2 linked regions of the Sus scrofa genome follow. The protein of the gene in region 1 purifies or fractionates together with the protein of each later gene. This does not show direct contact. Links are inferred from orthologs where the notes say so. Each region holds a gene or a part of one and is shown on either strand. Other genes may lie near its edges. The genes, in order: RANBP6 and ARMCX3.

The links.
Region 2: the proteins of RANBP6 (region 1) and ARMCX3 purify together in Homo sapiens (co-immunoprecipitation; 3 studies listed by BioGRID and IntAct, counting the BioPlex papers as one, with this or other methods). This does not show direct contact. The link is inferred for Sus scrofa from reciprocal best matches to the Homo sapiens genes RANBP6 and ARMCX3.

Annotation. Positions count from the first base shown.
Region 1 is NC_010443.5:216,101,283-216,108,401, forward strand, and holds the start of RANBP6 (ran-binding protein 6), read left to right. Parts: upstream 1-3,149; 5' UTR 3,150-6,319; coding exon 6,320-7,119. UniProt on the Homo sapiens protein: May function in nuclear protein import as nuclear transport receptor.
Region 2 is NC_010461.5:83,184,727-83,191,988, reverse strand, and holds the start of ARMCX3 (armadillo repeat-containing X-linked protein 3), read right to left. Parts: upstream 4,051-7,262; 5' UTR 3,885-4,050; exon of another isoform or gene 3,731-3,884; intron 3,357-3,730; 5' UTR 3,277-3,356; intron 2,992-3,276; 5' UTR 2,931-2,991; intron 2,666-2,930; exon of another isoform or gene 2,595-2,665; intron 2,327-2,594; 5' UTR 2,170-2,326; coding exon 1,030-2,169; 3' UTR 1-1,029. UniProt on the Homo sapiens protein: Regulates mitochondrial aggregation and transport in axons in living neurons. May link mitochondria to the TRAK2-kinesin motor complex via its interaction with Miro and TRAK2.

The sequences.
Region 1 (7,119 bases):
GCCAGATCCTTAACCCACTGAGCAAGGCCAGGGATCGAATTCGCATTCTCATGGATCCCAGTCAGGTTCCTTAACCACTGAGCCATGAAGGGAACTCCAGTTCATTATGTTTTTATTTAACTTTGAATAGTCTGAATTACTGCCATGCAGTTGTTAAAGATGAAAACAGTGTGACATTCCTGCTGTAGTGCAACAGGTTAAGGATCTGGCATTGTCTCTGCAGAGGCATAGTTTCAATCTCCTGCCCCCCTGCAGTGAACTAAGAATCCTGCCTTGCCGCAGCTGTTGCATAGGTTGCAGTTGTTCCCTGACCTGGAAACTTCCATATGCTGCAGATGTGGCCAAAAAAAAAGATAACGGTGTTTTACTACTATGCATCTTATACACTTGGAGTGAAGAGATAATATGCTGGGAGATAGGTAAAACCACAGGTTCAGCATGGCTGGTCTTCCTGGCATGAGCTAAGGGACTCCAAAGTAGATTGTAGACTTCATGAAGGTGAGCATTTTTGTCTGTTTTATTCACTATTGTATCCCCAATGTTCCAGCACAGTGCCTGGCACATAGTAGGTTAAATTTTTATTGAATTAATTAAATGTTTGAATAAATGAAAAGCTTAGAAAAAAACAACTTCATATTAAAAAAAGCTTGAAAATATTAGTAACTGGAACATCATGTTTACATTCAGATTTTAAGTTAAAAACATAAGCTGCTCCAAATTGTAGTCCCAGGTGTCAGAAATACCTTTCTCCTCTGCTATCCTTTTTTTTTTTTTTTTTTTTTGAGAAAATCTGGGTGAAAAAGTTGAGGTGTTATTCTAAATCAATAATTTTACATTGAAAACAAAGAAATTCTTTTTTTTCTTTTGGTCGGTCATTTAAATTTTCAATGTACAATGTACATAGAATGCAAAAAGTTCCTAATTATACTCAAATCCACAAATTCATATGCCCTTTAATCAGCTTAAAAATATCGTAAATTGGAGTTCCCATTGTGGATCAGCATTAACAAAACTGACTAGTATCCATGAGGATATGGGTTCAATCCATGGCCTCTCTCAGTGGATTAAGGATCCGATGTTGCCTTGAGCTGTGGTGTAGGTCACAGACTCAGCTCGGATCTGGCATTGCTGTAGCTGTGGCCTAGGCCAGCAGCTGCTGCTCTGATTTGACCCCTAGCCTGAGAACTTCCATATGCCACCGATGTGGCCCTAAAAAGACAAAAAACAAAAACAAAAACAAAACTTAAATTTATGGAAGGCTAGAGAGTACTTTATAAAAATTTCAGTGTTCAGTGATCTTTAGAACCACTAACTATAATTACTTTGGTTCAGGATTTATTGTAAAACTATAGTAATCTGTACAGTCTGTGGCACTGGAGTAAGGATAAACATATAGATTAATAAATGGAACAGAAGGTTCAGAAATAGGACTACATGTATATGGTCAATTGATATTGAACAAAGATGTAAAGGTTATTCAGTGGAGAAAAGTAGAACAACCAAAAATTCATATGCAAGAAGAAATGAGCTGCAACCCAGACAAGAAGAGGAAAAACACTAAGGTGATTCCTCGTTTCTCTCTTTTCCATCCTCCAATCTCTAGCGGCTCCTACTGGTGGAAACTATCATAGATCCAGCTATGAAAGAAATTTTATTTCCAGAGCCTAAACTTAGCATCAGAAAACAAATTAGAGAAAGTAAGAATGTGATACCAAAAGACAACATATAAATGACATTTTTTGTTTATCCCACTTTTAATAATACTAAGATTAATCATTAACTTCAGGTGGTTTCAGCCTAATCTATTATCATGTTCTCAATGTTTCATTCCATGGTTTTATCATCCATTGGTTATTGTCATCTACATTTGTTATTCCATTTGGAGTTACAGCAATTTTCTGATTTTAGCACCGTTGTGCACTTATTATATGGAATTCTATAAAGAAGAATGTGGATCACTATTTGGTTATCCTAGAGTTTGTAAGAGAAAGGCAGGAAAAATCTTGACTATTCTTCTTTATCAATTTTCAGTTGGTGACCTAACAACCTCCAAAGATGACCAATGAGTTGGTTGCTTTTGTTAGTATTAGAAACTCAGAACTTTTGCTTATATATCTGAAGAGTTTTTTAATCCATCACAGGCATTATTCTGATATTCAGATTTGTCTCATCTTAGGTCAGTGGGAAACTTCATAGTATTGTTTTATATATTTTTATTTATTCTGGGTTATTCTTGAAAAAATGTCAAGTATGTCCAATTTAATTTCCCCCCCTCATTTGACTTTAAATCTCTCAGATCTTGGAAGAAATTTGCAAGTTATTTTTCACTTTCCCACTTAGTAAGCCGCTAATAAACACTTGAATTGTCCACTATTGAGCCACCTTATGGAAACATTCCTAAGTGGTCTCTCAACAGTGCAAACATTTTTAAAAGCCAATTTTAATTACAGAATTTAATCAAGTTATTCAACTCTAACCAAATCTTCAAGTCCAGTCTTGAAATTTTCAGTATGATATGTGCTGCTTAGGGGAAAAAATAAATAAAAAGGAAATCACAATGCAAAAAGTAAATAGAATAGAATTATGCAATTTAGAAAGGAAGAACTTTAAGATTTTAAATCCATGTGTTTTTCTAAAATAAAGGAACATAACTTTTTTTCCTAAAATGGATTCAGTTTAGACTTTACTCTTGTAACAATGACCATCACTATAGAGTGAGAGAGCAACTACGGAATAAAATATGGATTTTGGTACTCACCTTCTTAGGAAAGCCTCTTTTCCCCCAGAAAGAGTTAATAGTCCTTTGGTCTACATTAATATTGTTGTTTATTTATATGTAGGTTAAGAAATAGGTAAATTTCAGCACCTCCAACCAGATGCCCAGGCCAAAACTCGGGGAGATTTCCTAGGCTTCTCCTTCTCCTCTGAGGTGCAACTGATATGACCTCTTAAGATCTCTCCAATCCTTGCCCTCTTTTCTTTCCATCCACTAGTGTAATTTACACTTTCAGCTTAACTGAACTCCTGTATGTCTCCAGTCTTTAACTTCAGTTTGCACATTACCATTAAAGTAATCTTTCTACAAATGGGTTATTTCACAGCCTTTTTTTTTTTTTTTCTTTTTCTTTTTAGATCTGTATCAGTGGCATATGGAGGTTCCCAGGCTAGGGGTCAAATCAGAGCTGTAGCTGCCAGCCTACGCCACAGCCACAGCAAGTCCAGATCCTTAACCCACTGAGCGAGGCCAGGAATCAAACCTGCAACCTCATAGATCCTAGTCAGATTCTTTTCCACTGTGCCACAACGGGAATTCCTATTTCACAGCTCTTGATTAAAATCCTTAAACAGCTCCTCTTTACCTTAAGGGAAAAAAAGCCAAATTTCTTAACCTGGACTATAAGACTTTTCATGATCTGGCCTCTATATAACTTTCTGCCTTCTTCTTTCCTGGCTCCTGTCATTCCCAGACCCCCTCACATTCCATTCTCAATGATCCAGCAATGAACAACTGGCAGAATGGACTGCACTAGGCAGTAAGGCCTTTCTGCACTTGAACATAGATCTTATTTTACTTAGAAACTTCTTCTCTTTCTTCAAATAGTTAATACAGATTCATCCTTCCAAAGTCAGCCCTGATATTACCACCTCTGGGAAGCCTTGCCTGATCTCCCTCAGCTGCCTCCATAGTCCTGTGTGGTTCCATGGTAGATGGCCTATCACCACAGTGCTCACTACACTATATGACATTTACTATCTTTCATGAGCATCTATATATCTATATATCTATATCTACCTATCTATCTATCTATCTATCTATCTATCTATCTATCTATCTATCTATCTATAGATAGTCTTTTTAGGGCCGCACCTGAGGCATATGGAAGTTCCCAGGCCAGGGGTTGAATTGGAGCTTCAGCTGCTGGCCTACACCACATCCACAGCAACACGGGATCTGAGCAACCTACACCACAGCTCATGGCAACACTGGATCCTTAACCCACTGAGCAAGGCCAGGGATCAAACCCTTGTCCTCTTGGATACTAGTCAGGTTTGTTGCAACTGAGCCATGACAGGAACTCAATCCTCATATATTTAATCTTATCCCTAGCACACAGCACCATGTTTTGAGTATTCCCTCAGCGAATGCTGAGAGAATAAACAAATAATTGCATAATGTTAACCCAGCATTTTCAAAACACATTTTTTCAGAGTAATTTTACCTATTATACTACCACCAAAAATAGAGTTTCCTGTTGTTCCACATCCTTTCAAATGCTTAATATTCTTAGATACAAATTTAAAATATTGTGGAGGGTGGGTCTTTAGTGATATCTCATCCTAGTTTTCAATGTCATTAATATGCTAATAGATATAGTATTAAGGAAAGTCCCCCCCCCACCTCTACTTATTAATATTTCCTGAAACAGCAAATGCAAAGGCTCTGCAGTTAGACTTTTTCAAGGAATGGTAAAAAAGCCAGTGACTGTGGAGCAAGAGGCAGAACCATAGTCAAGATCTTGGAATGATCCCATCATTCGTTCTCAAGTTTTGCTATTCATGTGAAAACCCAGTGTGCTTGTTAAAATTGGACATTCTTGGACTTCCCGTGTGGCTCACAACATTACTTGGCATTGCTTCTACAGTGGCGGTGGCTGGACCCCTAGCTCGGGAACGTCTATATGCCGCAGGCCACTTGTTTAAAAAAAAATTTTTTTTTTAAATAATAAAAAATAAAAAAATTAAATTCAACATTCTTGGGTTGCATGCCCCAGAAATTCTGATTCAGTAGTTCAGAACTCGGGCCCTAATATCTGTATTTAAAATAAGCTTGTCAAGTAATTCTGACCCAGTTTGCTTATGGTCTACAGAATAAGAAACACTGTTTAGAGAATTAGGTTTTTTCCTAAATGAGCACAGTATTACATATTACAATGTCATTTAAGAGATTGCTTTTCCTATAATCCGGTTAAAACGTTAAAACTGTGATTTTCTCTCTTCATGGGTACGTGCAGCAGCATGTTACAAAATTAAAATTAAGCCCATTTGGAGATGTTTAAGATAACCTTACAGTAAGCGAAGGCCTTTGATCATGTTGCAAAACCAAGAGTAATTATGTGGAAGTGGTATGGTGAAAGAGCATTGGTGCTGCTTTCAGAAGTGGTGGATTTGAGATTCCGGCTGTGTCATTTTAGGCAAATCCCTTAACTTGCATGAATTTCTATTCTCATCTAAAGTTAGTATAATACCTATCCTACTAACCTTGAAAACCTGTATAACCATCAAAATGAAGAGTGGCAGGGCACTAATACAAAAGTAAGATCTAATCATTGTTACAGGAATGATCATTGTTTTTGATTGACACACATGAGTTAAAGAAATAACATTTAGACTCGGGGGCATTTATTTCGTAGAATAATCTCAGCAGCTTCCTACTAAAAAACTGTGAAAGCATTTTACCATTTGCAAAGAAAGTCTCAAGTGACATGACCATGGGTACAAAATCAATTTAGAGACAAGACCAGGATTCTAGTGTTCTGATTACTATCCCAGGTCACTCCCCACCATACTTTCCTCATTTGTCTTTCTCATTTTGTATTATAATCCATAGGCCAAATGATTCTGGCACACACCTGAGACTGAGAACCACTGCTTTACTGCATTTGGTGTAGTGGTGGGGTGGTAATCATTGCCTTTATCTTTTATTACACTTATTTGATAAACAGCTTTATTGAGGTATTACTTACATACCATACAAATCACCAATCTAAACTGTACAATTCAATGGTTTTTAATACACAGAGTTGTGCAGTTATCACCACAATCAATTCCTCATTTTCACACCCATCCACCCCCGCCACCGCCCCAGTACTCATTCTCTATTCTTCTTTTCCCTCAACCACTGCCAAACACTAATTTACATTCTGTATGGATTTGCCTGGTTAAGACCGTTCCTATAATTGGAATTACACAACACGTAACATTTTATGATCTTCTTTCACTTAGCAATTTTCAAGGAGTACCTAATTGTTTTAAAATTAGCAGTGTAACAATAGATAGTTTAGAAATAAACCAGAAGGGAAAAAAATCACCCATAATTCCATCCTAATACAATCAACAGCATACTTTTTTTTTTTCTCTTCTGCGGCTGCACTTTCATCTCACTGGAAAAAAGATGGAGGGTGACCCTCCCCGCCACCGGGCTCTCCACGCCCCCCCCGCCCATCTCCACCCGGCGCCTTGATGACGTCACTATTTCGAGCCTCAGACCACCCCCCCCCACCGCCCTCCCTCCCTGTCGCGGTGGCTTTGACAGAACGCGATGGCGGCGTCCGGGTCTGCGGGAGTGCCGGCGGCTGTGTCGGGAAAGCAAGAGTTTTACCAGCTTCTGAAGAACCTGATCAATCCAAGCTGTATGGTGCGGAGGCAGGCAGAGGAAATCTATGAAAATATCCCAGGTCTGTGTAAGACTACATTCCTCTTAGATGCCGTCAGAAATAGAAGAGCAGGTTTTGAGGTGAGACAAATGGCTGCCGCACTGCTACGACGGCTTTTGTCATCTGGGTTTGAGGAAGTCTATCCAAATCTGCCTTCTGATGTTCAGAGGGACGTCAAGATTGAACTAATACTGGCCGTTAAGTTAGAAACACATGCTAGCATGAGGAAAAAACTTTGTGATATTTTTGCAGTGCTGGCGAGGAATTTGATAGATGAGGATGGCACTAACCACTGGCCGGAAGGTCTGAAGTTCCTTATTGATTCAATCCACTCTAAAAATGTTGTTCTATGGGAAGTTGCACTTCACGTTTTTTGGCACTTTCCTGGAATTTTTGGGAACCAAGAACGGCATGATTTGGATATCATCAAACGGTTGTTGGACCAGTGTATTCAAGATCAAGAACATCCAGCAATCAGGACATTATCTGCTAGAGCTGCAGCTGCATTTGTACTTGCTAATGAGAATAATATTGCTCTTTTCAAAGACTTTGCAGACTTGCTTCCTGGAATCTTACAGGCTGTGAATGATTCATGCTACCAGGATGATGATTCAGTGCTAGAGTCCCTTGTTGAGATTGCAGATACTGTACCTAAATATTTGGGTCCTTATTTAGAAGATACTCT
Region 2 (7,262 bases), on another chromosome or scaffold:
CACAGTTCTGAGAGTTACAGCCTTGTAATACAATCTTTGGCCAATGTTTCAATTATTTCCTTAGGACAAAGGGTTTACATATTTTAAGGCTTATGATATATATTGCCAAATGGCCCTTCACAAACCCTGTGCCACTGTAAGGTCCATTTTGAAAGGGTCCATTTTGCCACACCCTCATGGACATTGCACAATAGATGAAAGAGGGACTTTTATATGAATTACAATTATCCTTCCTAGTCAGAATTATTTAGTGGCTCTCAGTGTTCAGTGGGATAATATTGAAAGAGTTCACAAACTGGCTGCAGCTGGCTTCCCAAATCTGTTTACTTCCACACTAAGCAGACTAGTCTCCTCACTGTCATAGGAAGAGTTCCTACCTCCATACCTTTCTCACACCAGTCCCCCCCTCACTCCCATCACATGGAATGCCCTAACTACCCACCCCACTGAGAATTCATTTTCAATGACCACTTTTTCCAAAAATCTGTAACTGACTACTGTATCCCACAGAAGTCTTTGCTTCCTCTGTGCTCTGAGCTCACATATTTGACAATGAGTATCTATGTTCGAGTTATTCTGTTATCTTTTTGTTTGCATGTTTCTTATCTCTCCAACTAGATTATAAACTGAAAGACAAGGATGGTTTCTTTCCTTCTTTCTTTCTTTTTTTTTTCTCAGCATTAATGCACAACTTTATTGATGATACACAAATGAAGTCAATGCAAATGACAGGAAGGAGCTTATTTATGATGAATTAGTTCACTGTCACTTATGCAGAAGAAAGAGTAAAAATATTTCAATCTAGGCAGCAAGATAAAAAGCAACAAACGTGTTTTCAGAACAAGTAGTGATATTCACTCATCCAGCTTAGACCTGAAGACCAACTCAGATAAATATCAGTGTTGAGGATACAATATGATATTCATTACTCAAAATTGGCAGCTGAAAGAATTCCTTTACCATATAAACAAGGTGGAGAAAAGGAACAGTTTACAACGTGTGTTGCTTCTAAACTACAAAATCAAGAAGTTATTCCTGGCTCTTTGGGAACATATGCTCAGCCAGTTTGGCCATGAATTTTCCAACTTTTACTTTCACCAAAAAATCCTGATGACTTTCTATCCCCAGAATCTTATCAGCACACACTTGAAATTCTTTTAAAAAGAAAAAAAGTGAACCTTCGCTGAACTGATTCTGAGTAGGTTCATCTTCTTCCCATTTAAAATTGTCAATTATGTTCTCAAATATGACTAGAAGCTTAAGAATCACCTCTTTGTTCTCCTTCTTATTAAAGAGGGAGCCCAGCGAAGATGGTACTTGGGCCCTAAGCAGTTCTCTAGTCATGGCTGGATTTTCAGCCAAATTCAAAAGGAGTTTCAAAACCTGAAATTTGGTTTCTTCATTTCCCGCTGAAAATAAACGAAAAAAGTCTGAAATGGAATTAGCAAGCATGTGCTGATACTCATTAGTAACAGTCATGTTCGTAAGCAATCTTAGTCCCGCCAGCTGCACAGATGAGTTCAAGCGAGAAGTGATTGTGTCATCACACACTTGATTCATGTATATCTTAAGCCGGCGCTGATTTTCAGCATTCACACTCAAGTTATTTAGGACAATTAAAGCCTTTTCCTTAACTATGGGATCCCGAGTATTGAGAATCTTTGCCACAATTGGGAGACCACCCAGATCACGAATAATATCTCTGTTAAACGCATAAGCAGCGTTGTTACCCAGAGCAATTAAAGCTGCTTCAAGAATATAAGGCTTTTCAGACATCTCAACCAAGCAAAGAACTTTTTGTAGCTCCTGAGGGGACAAAACGGTATCATCTGAATTGGGGGAAGCCCTTTTCTGGACGGCCCTCCGTGCCCGGGTAGCCCTGGCCCTTGCTCTGGCCCTAGCTCTGGTCCCAGCCTCAGTCCCAATTCGGGCCCAAGGTGGATACCATACTATACCTTTGTTCTCACTGTTGTCATCATCATCGTCTGACCAGTCATTGTACCTGGCCCCAGGACAGTCCCCAACATCATCCACGTCCCCGGACCCGCCCTCAGCCATTTTCTCCTTGTTCTGTTTTCTTCCCCTGGTCAGTCTGTAAATGCAGTAACAGGCGCCAGCCCCAATCACCAGTCCCGCAGTCACCCAGCCTACTTTCCTGGCGTAGCCCATGCAATCGTCCCTGACAGTATCAGGGACCAAGGAACAGAGTAGTCACTCAGGCTGGGGGAGGATGGCTATAGGCCTGGCTGGGTGCAGGCCTGCAGAGGGTGATCGTCTTGTCTTCAGCCCCACTTCAAGGCCACAGTAGCTGACACTACAAGTGGACCTAGGGGTGGAGGAAGGAAATGGGGTTTGAGTTTCTCTTCTCTCTGTGTTATCCCATGCAGGGAGTTGCACAGAGGGACAAGTAAATGAGTTCTTGGTAGGAAATGTAGATTGTTAACAAACTGTGCCCTCTCACTTCACCCTCCTCCTACCCTCCCCAGTCCACACCCTCCCCAAGCCTAGATAAAGGCAACAGAGCCCACAGTCTCTGCTGGGGCCTCAGCCACCCCAAAATCGGTGTTCACAGGGAGTAGCACCCTTGCACTAACCTCCTCCAGACAAGCAGTTTGCCCCTTCTTCCCTCCCCTGGAGGTGTGCCACGCCCAACAACCCTTGTGATCTGCAGAGAGACCAGAGCCAGTGAGAACTAAAGGCTTAATGGATTGACTGTTCATTCGTTGCTTTCCTGATTCACCATCTAGGTTGTCATATTTTTTTTTTAGAAAACTTCTCTATGCCATCCAAAACATGCACATGCCTGCCCCTTCCCTAGCCTGAAATGGGAGGGATGTTAGGGAAATAAAGTAGGATTGGGTGAGCCTGTCCAACCACGGGCGATTTCCAACCCCTCCCCCATTCTAAGCAGCCCCCACGCCCACACCGACCTCTACTGATCCGAGGAAACTTCCTCCCTCGCTTCAACTGGTGCCACCTGCTACAGCAGACCTGCAGGATGACAGATCGAAAACATGGGGACTAAGTGCTGTTGAGAGAAGAGGATTATGAACAAACTATCTGATAGGTTTCCCTTCTGTCATTCTCCCCCACCCCCGCGACACACGGGCGCGCACACGCTCGCGCACACACACACACACACAACGCACGCCATTTCGACACAGTCCCCAGAGTGTAAGAAACACACTCAGACTCAGACCTAACCTAGATCATTGCCACCTCTGGTTTCTACCCACCCCCATCACCAGCCCTGTTAGGGTCCCCAGATGGTCTTACCCTCAAATCGACCTTCACCGATCGGGGTTAATTTCCTTCCTCTTCTGTAGCCTGCCGTAGTGCCGCAACCTACAGAAAGACTGGCAACCCGGGAGAGGCTCGGACCCACAAGACACAGAGCCATGGTCAGGAAAACACAGTCACAGAAAGACGGGAAACAGACGCTACCGAGTGCTTGGTGGACGGACCAGTCCCCAGAACAGAAAACTCTTTCCTAATTCGGAGGCCTGGTTGTCAAAGGTTTCCCACCCCCATTACCCTCTTGGGGGCTTCTGCTGACACATCACGTTGCACTCCCCCCTCGCTAAGTGCAGTTTTTCCCGGCCAGCACTGTCCTGAAGGACTGGGGGGCCAACACCCAGGCCACAGCTCCCTTTGCAGATTACGGCCTCGGTTCCCACCAGGTTCCCACCTCCGGATCTCTGGGCTCCTCCCCAAACATCCCCCTACTCACCATTTCGCAGCATCGAAATGGGCTGCGGGCGGGACAGATGTCTTGCAAAGCCGGCGGCGAGTGGGAGAGACAACAGAGGCGCCCCAAGACCCGCGACGGTCTGCGCCCTGCACCCTCGGCCACCCCCACCTTCTGGAATCTCCCTGGCACTGACCTGCAGGGATCCGGGACAATTTCCTTCTCCTCCTCCTTCCCTCTGCCACCGGCCCGCTCACCCTCAGGGCAGTGGGGAGCTGGTACTCAGACGGGGAACAACGACCAGAACAAGAAGGACTTCTGCACACGTCAGCTCTTGGTCACGTGAGAGCTACGTCATCCACCAACTCGGGTCCCCAATTTCCCCTCCCACCAGCAGTGCGGCAGAAGAGGGCCCGCCCCCCTCCATTCCCTCCCCCACACCAGGCCTTGTTACTCTTTCTTCGTTGCCAATCCCATCTCCTTATAGTTGTGTTTGCCTTCCCCCATTACCAGAAAGGGACAGCATCTCCCCCTGGGGTTACTGGCCACTTGTACTTTTTGAAAAACTGCCTCTTCCTTCCCTAGGCTCCTGGGACAGCAACCTCTCCTTCCACCTCCCCGCCTCCCAGCTATAAATGTCTACGGTTTCCTCTGAAATCCAGTCCCAGATCTGAAATGAAAAAGCCATCTGAAAAGGAGCCCTGGAGTGAGTGAGTGTGTGTGTGTGTTTTCCTTTCTTAATGCGTTTTTGTTCTTTCCCTTCTGCCCTTCTCCCACCCGCAGCCTGCATTCTTTTTATGAAAAAAAAAAATTGCTGTAAAGCTATTTTCATTTGCAGAAAAAAAAAGAGTGGGAGTTGGAGAGTGGTGTTGGGTGATGGCCTCCAAAATGTACCACACTTTCTCACTTGTGGGGAGTGTTACAGAAAGCCATCTTAATGTCTTTGGGGGCCTAGCACATAACATAATCCTGAATGAGCTAATCAGTATGTCTGAGAATACATACAGCAGACTAGGCCAGTCTTCAAAACGGGAGAGCTACAGACTTTTACTTGCATCAGTTAGCAAGGAAGAGGCATGGAGCTCTCAGAAGCAAGTGACACAGAAAATGTTGAGTGGAAATCGCACCAACATAGTGGATGTGTATCATACAGGCATGCACACCGACAGAGTGAGTGGCATACAAAGAACATTATAAAATACACTCAGGCATAAATAGAGAATATCATTTTAAAATGGAATAGATGTTAGTGGAACAGTGAGACTAAGACAAAATTGGCCAACCTCGGTATCTAGGAATTAGTGTGAAACCTTTTCAACGACCAGTTTAATGAATGATTCACCTGTCAGCAATGATCGAATTTTTTTATGAGTGGGCAAAATAATAAAATAATGTCAGAACATGAGGTCTACAGTGAAATATGCCCTAATAGTTCAGATATAAGGTTATTATCTGAGTATGAATTTTAAGATCCACAGACAACAGGGGCATAAATCAAGAAATTAGGAAGTTTGGGAACAGGCAAAACTCTAAGAAAGTTCAAGTTGATGTAACTTTTGGAAGACAGCACTTGACTATGACTGAATTTTATTTTTTCTTCGAGTTTTATTGAGAAATAATTGAGATACAGCACTGTATAAGTTTAAGGTGAACAGGGTATGACTGAAATTTAGTAAGCAGAAACCAGATCAACTATGATGCTGTGTTTAGAGAAAGATCATGTGCAGCGAGGGGGCTTATTCAAGCATAGGGATATATGAAAAGCAGAGTCAGAGGAAAGTGTTGATAGTTCCCACCCAAGCACTGTCTGGAGGAGAGCGAGTCTTGGCCAAGATGAATGGAAAAATTAGCTTTCTTTGGCAGAGCCATCCCCATGATGTGTAAGTGTACTTCAAGTTTCTTAGCTAAAAGCCACTTCTTAAAGTGCACCAATGCCCTTGCTCTGATTGCAGGCTCACCAAGCCACCTTCTGAGGTTGTGGTTTCCCAAGTAGTAGCTTGCCAACAGGGAGTGAATGGGCTGATAAAACTGACAGAAACCTCTAGTACCCTTGACGGTTGTATTTTTCAGGATAAATTCTTCAGTTGTCACTCCCTTGTGAGACTTAGTTTCCCTTGTGGCCTTCTTACAGGGAGAAAATGCAGAAATCCATGCACTGGGGCATTCAGATATAGATTTAGATATGTCTCTGTGAATGGGAGTCTTTCCTTGACAGAGGCATCCACTCTCAGCGTACAGACAAAATCAGGTATTGATCATGACGGGATGAGGACAAGGCTCTGAACTCTAGATGCAACCTTGTGGAATCCTATCAGGGAAGCCAAGTAGCTTTGGCTTACAAGACAGCCTAGTGCATCACCATTTCAGAACTGTACCTCTCTAGTGTTCAGTTAATGTAAAAATTACAACTGGAGTTCCCATTGTGGCGCAGTAGAAACGAATCCGACTAGGAATCATGAGGTTGTGGGTTCAATCCCTGGCCTTGCTCAGTGGGTTAAGGATCCAGCATTGCCGTGAGCTGTGGTGTGGGTTGAAGAAGCATCTTGGATCCTGCGTTGCTGTGGCTGTGGCGTAGGCCGGCAGCTGCAGCTCTGATTAGACCCCTAGCCTGGGAACCTCCATATGCTGCAGGTGTGAGCCTAAAAAACCAAAAAAAAAAGAAAGAAAGAAAAGAAAATTACGACTAAAGCATGCCGTGGCAGATAGGCCCCCCAGCACCTCAGTCCCAGATGAACAAAGCATCATATCCAAAGTAGTTGAAGGGCTCCTGCAAATCAACAATAATATCTGAAACAGTATACATTTCTCTCTGGGAAGAGAAAGGAATCGCCATTTACATTTTACATACCCTGTCATTTTCCCCAGCAAAAGGGTGGGCATTGTGACCCAAACAGACCAACTCCATACTCTCTTACTGAAATTTAAACCTCAAACGGAGATAGAAAACTGAAAATCAGTGGAATTATGGCATCCTGAAGAGCCCATCTATCAATTCCTCCCACTAGATGTCTCAAATCTGATGCTGATCTTCAACATTCCATCATTGTTTGCATTAACCAGATTTGGTTTCTGTTGCTTGTAATCAAAGAAAATTAACTAATACACAATCCAAAAATAAATAACATAATGCAAAAAGTAATATAGCTTTTTAAAATAACAATCTTCTGTATTTTTCTCACCCTCCATAACTCCATTAGGGTTACAACCTGCTGGTCCTTTCCATTTTCAGCTACTTTATAAATCATACATCACATGTGACCATATACTGGTTTAAGTCAAAAGTTTCCTTTGGGCGGTGGCTTCACTGTCTTTTGAAGGCTGGTCTGAAGAAGTGCTTAAAGATTTTCCATTTTTCGTGTTTGAAAGAGTATGTCAGGCAAACAGCATGCCCTTAAATTTTAAAAAATGGGGTGTATAATGGAGAGCAAAATAGACTTTAAATGCTAGTCCCCAGGTTCCTTGGTAGGAATTGTGGATCAAAATTTATAAAGTAAGAGAATTGAAAGGGTTATCATTCCCATGGGATTTGGAAGTTTCAAGAGGGAGTGGATCCAAACAGGAAAGGTCTGACAGC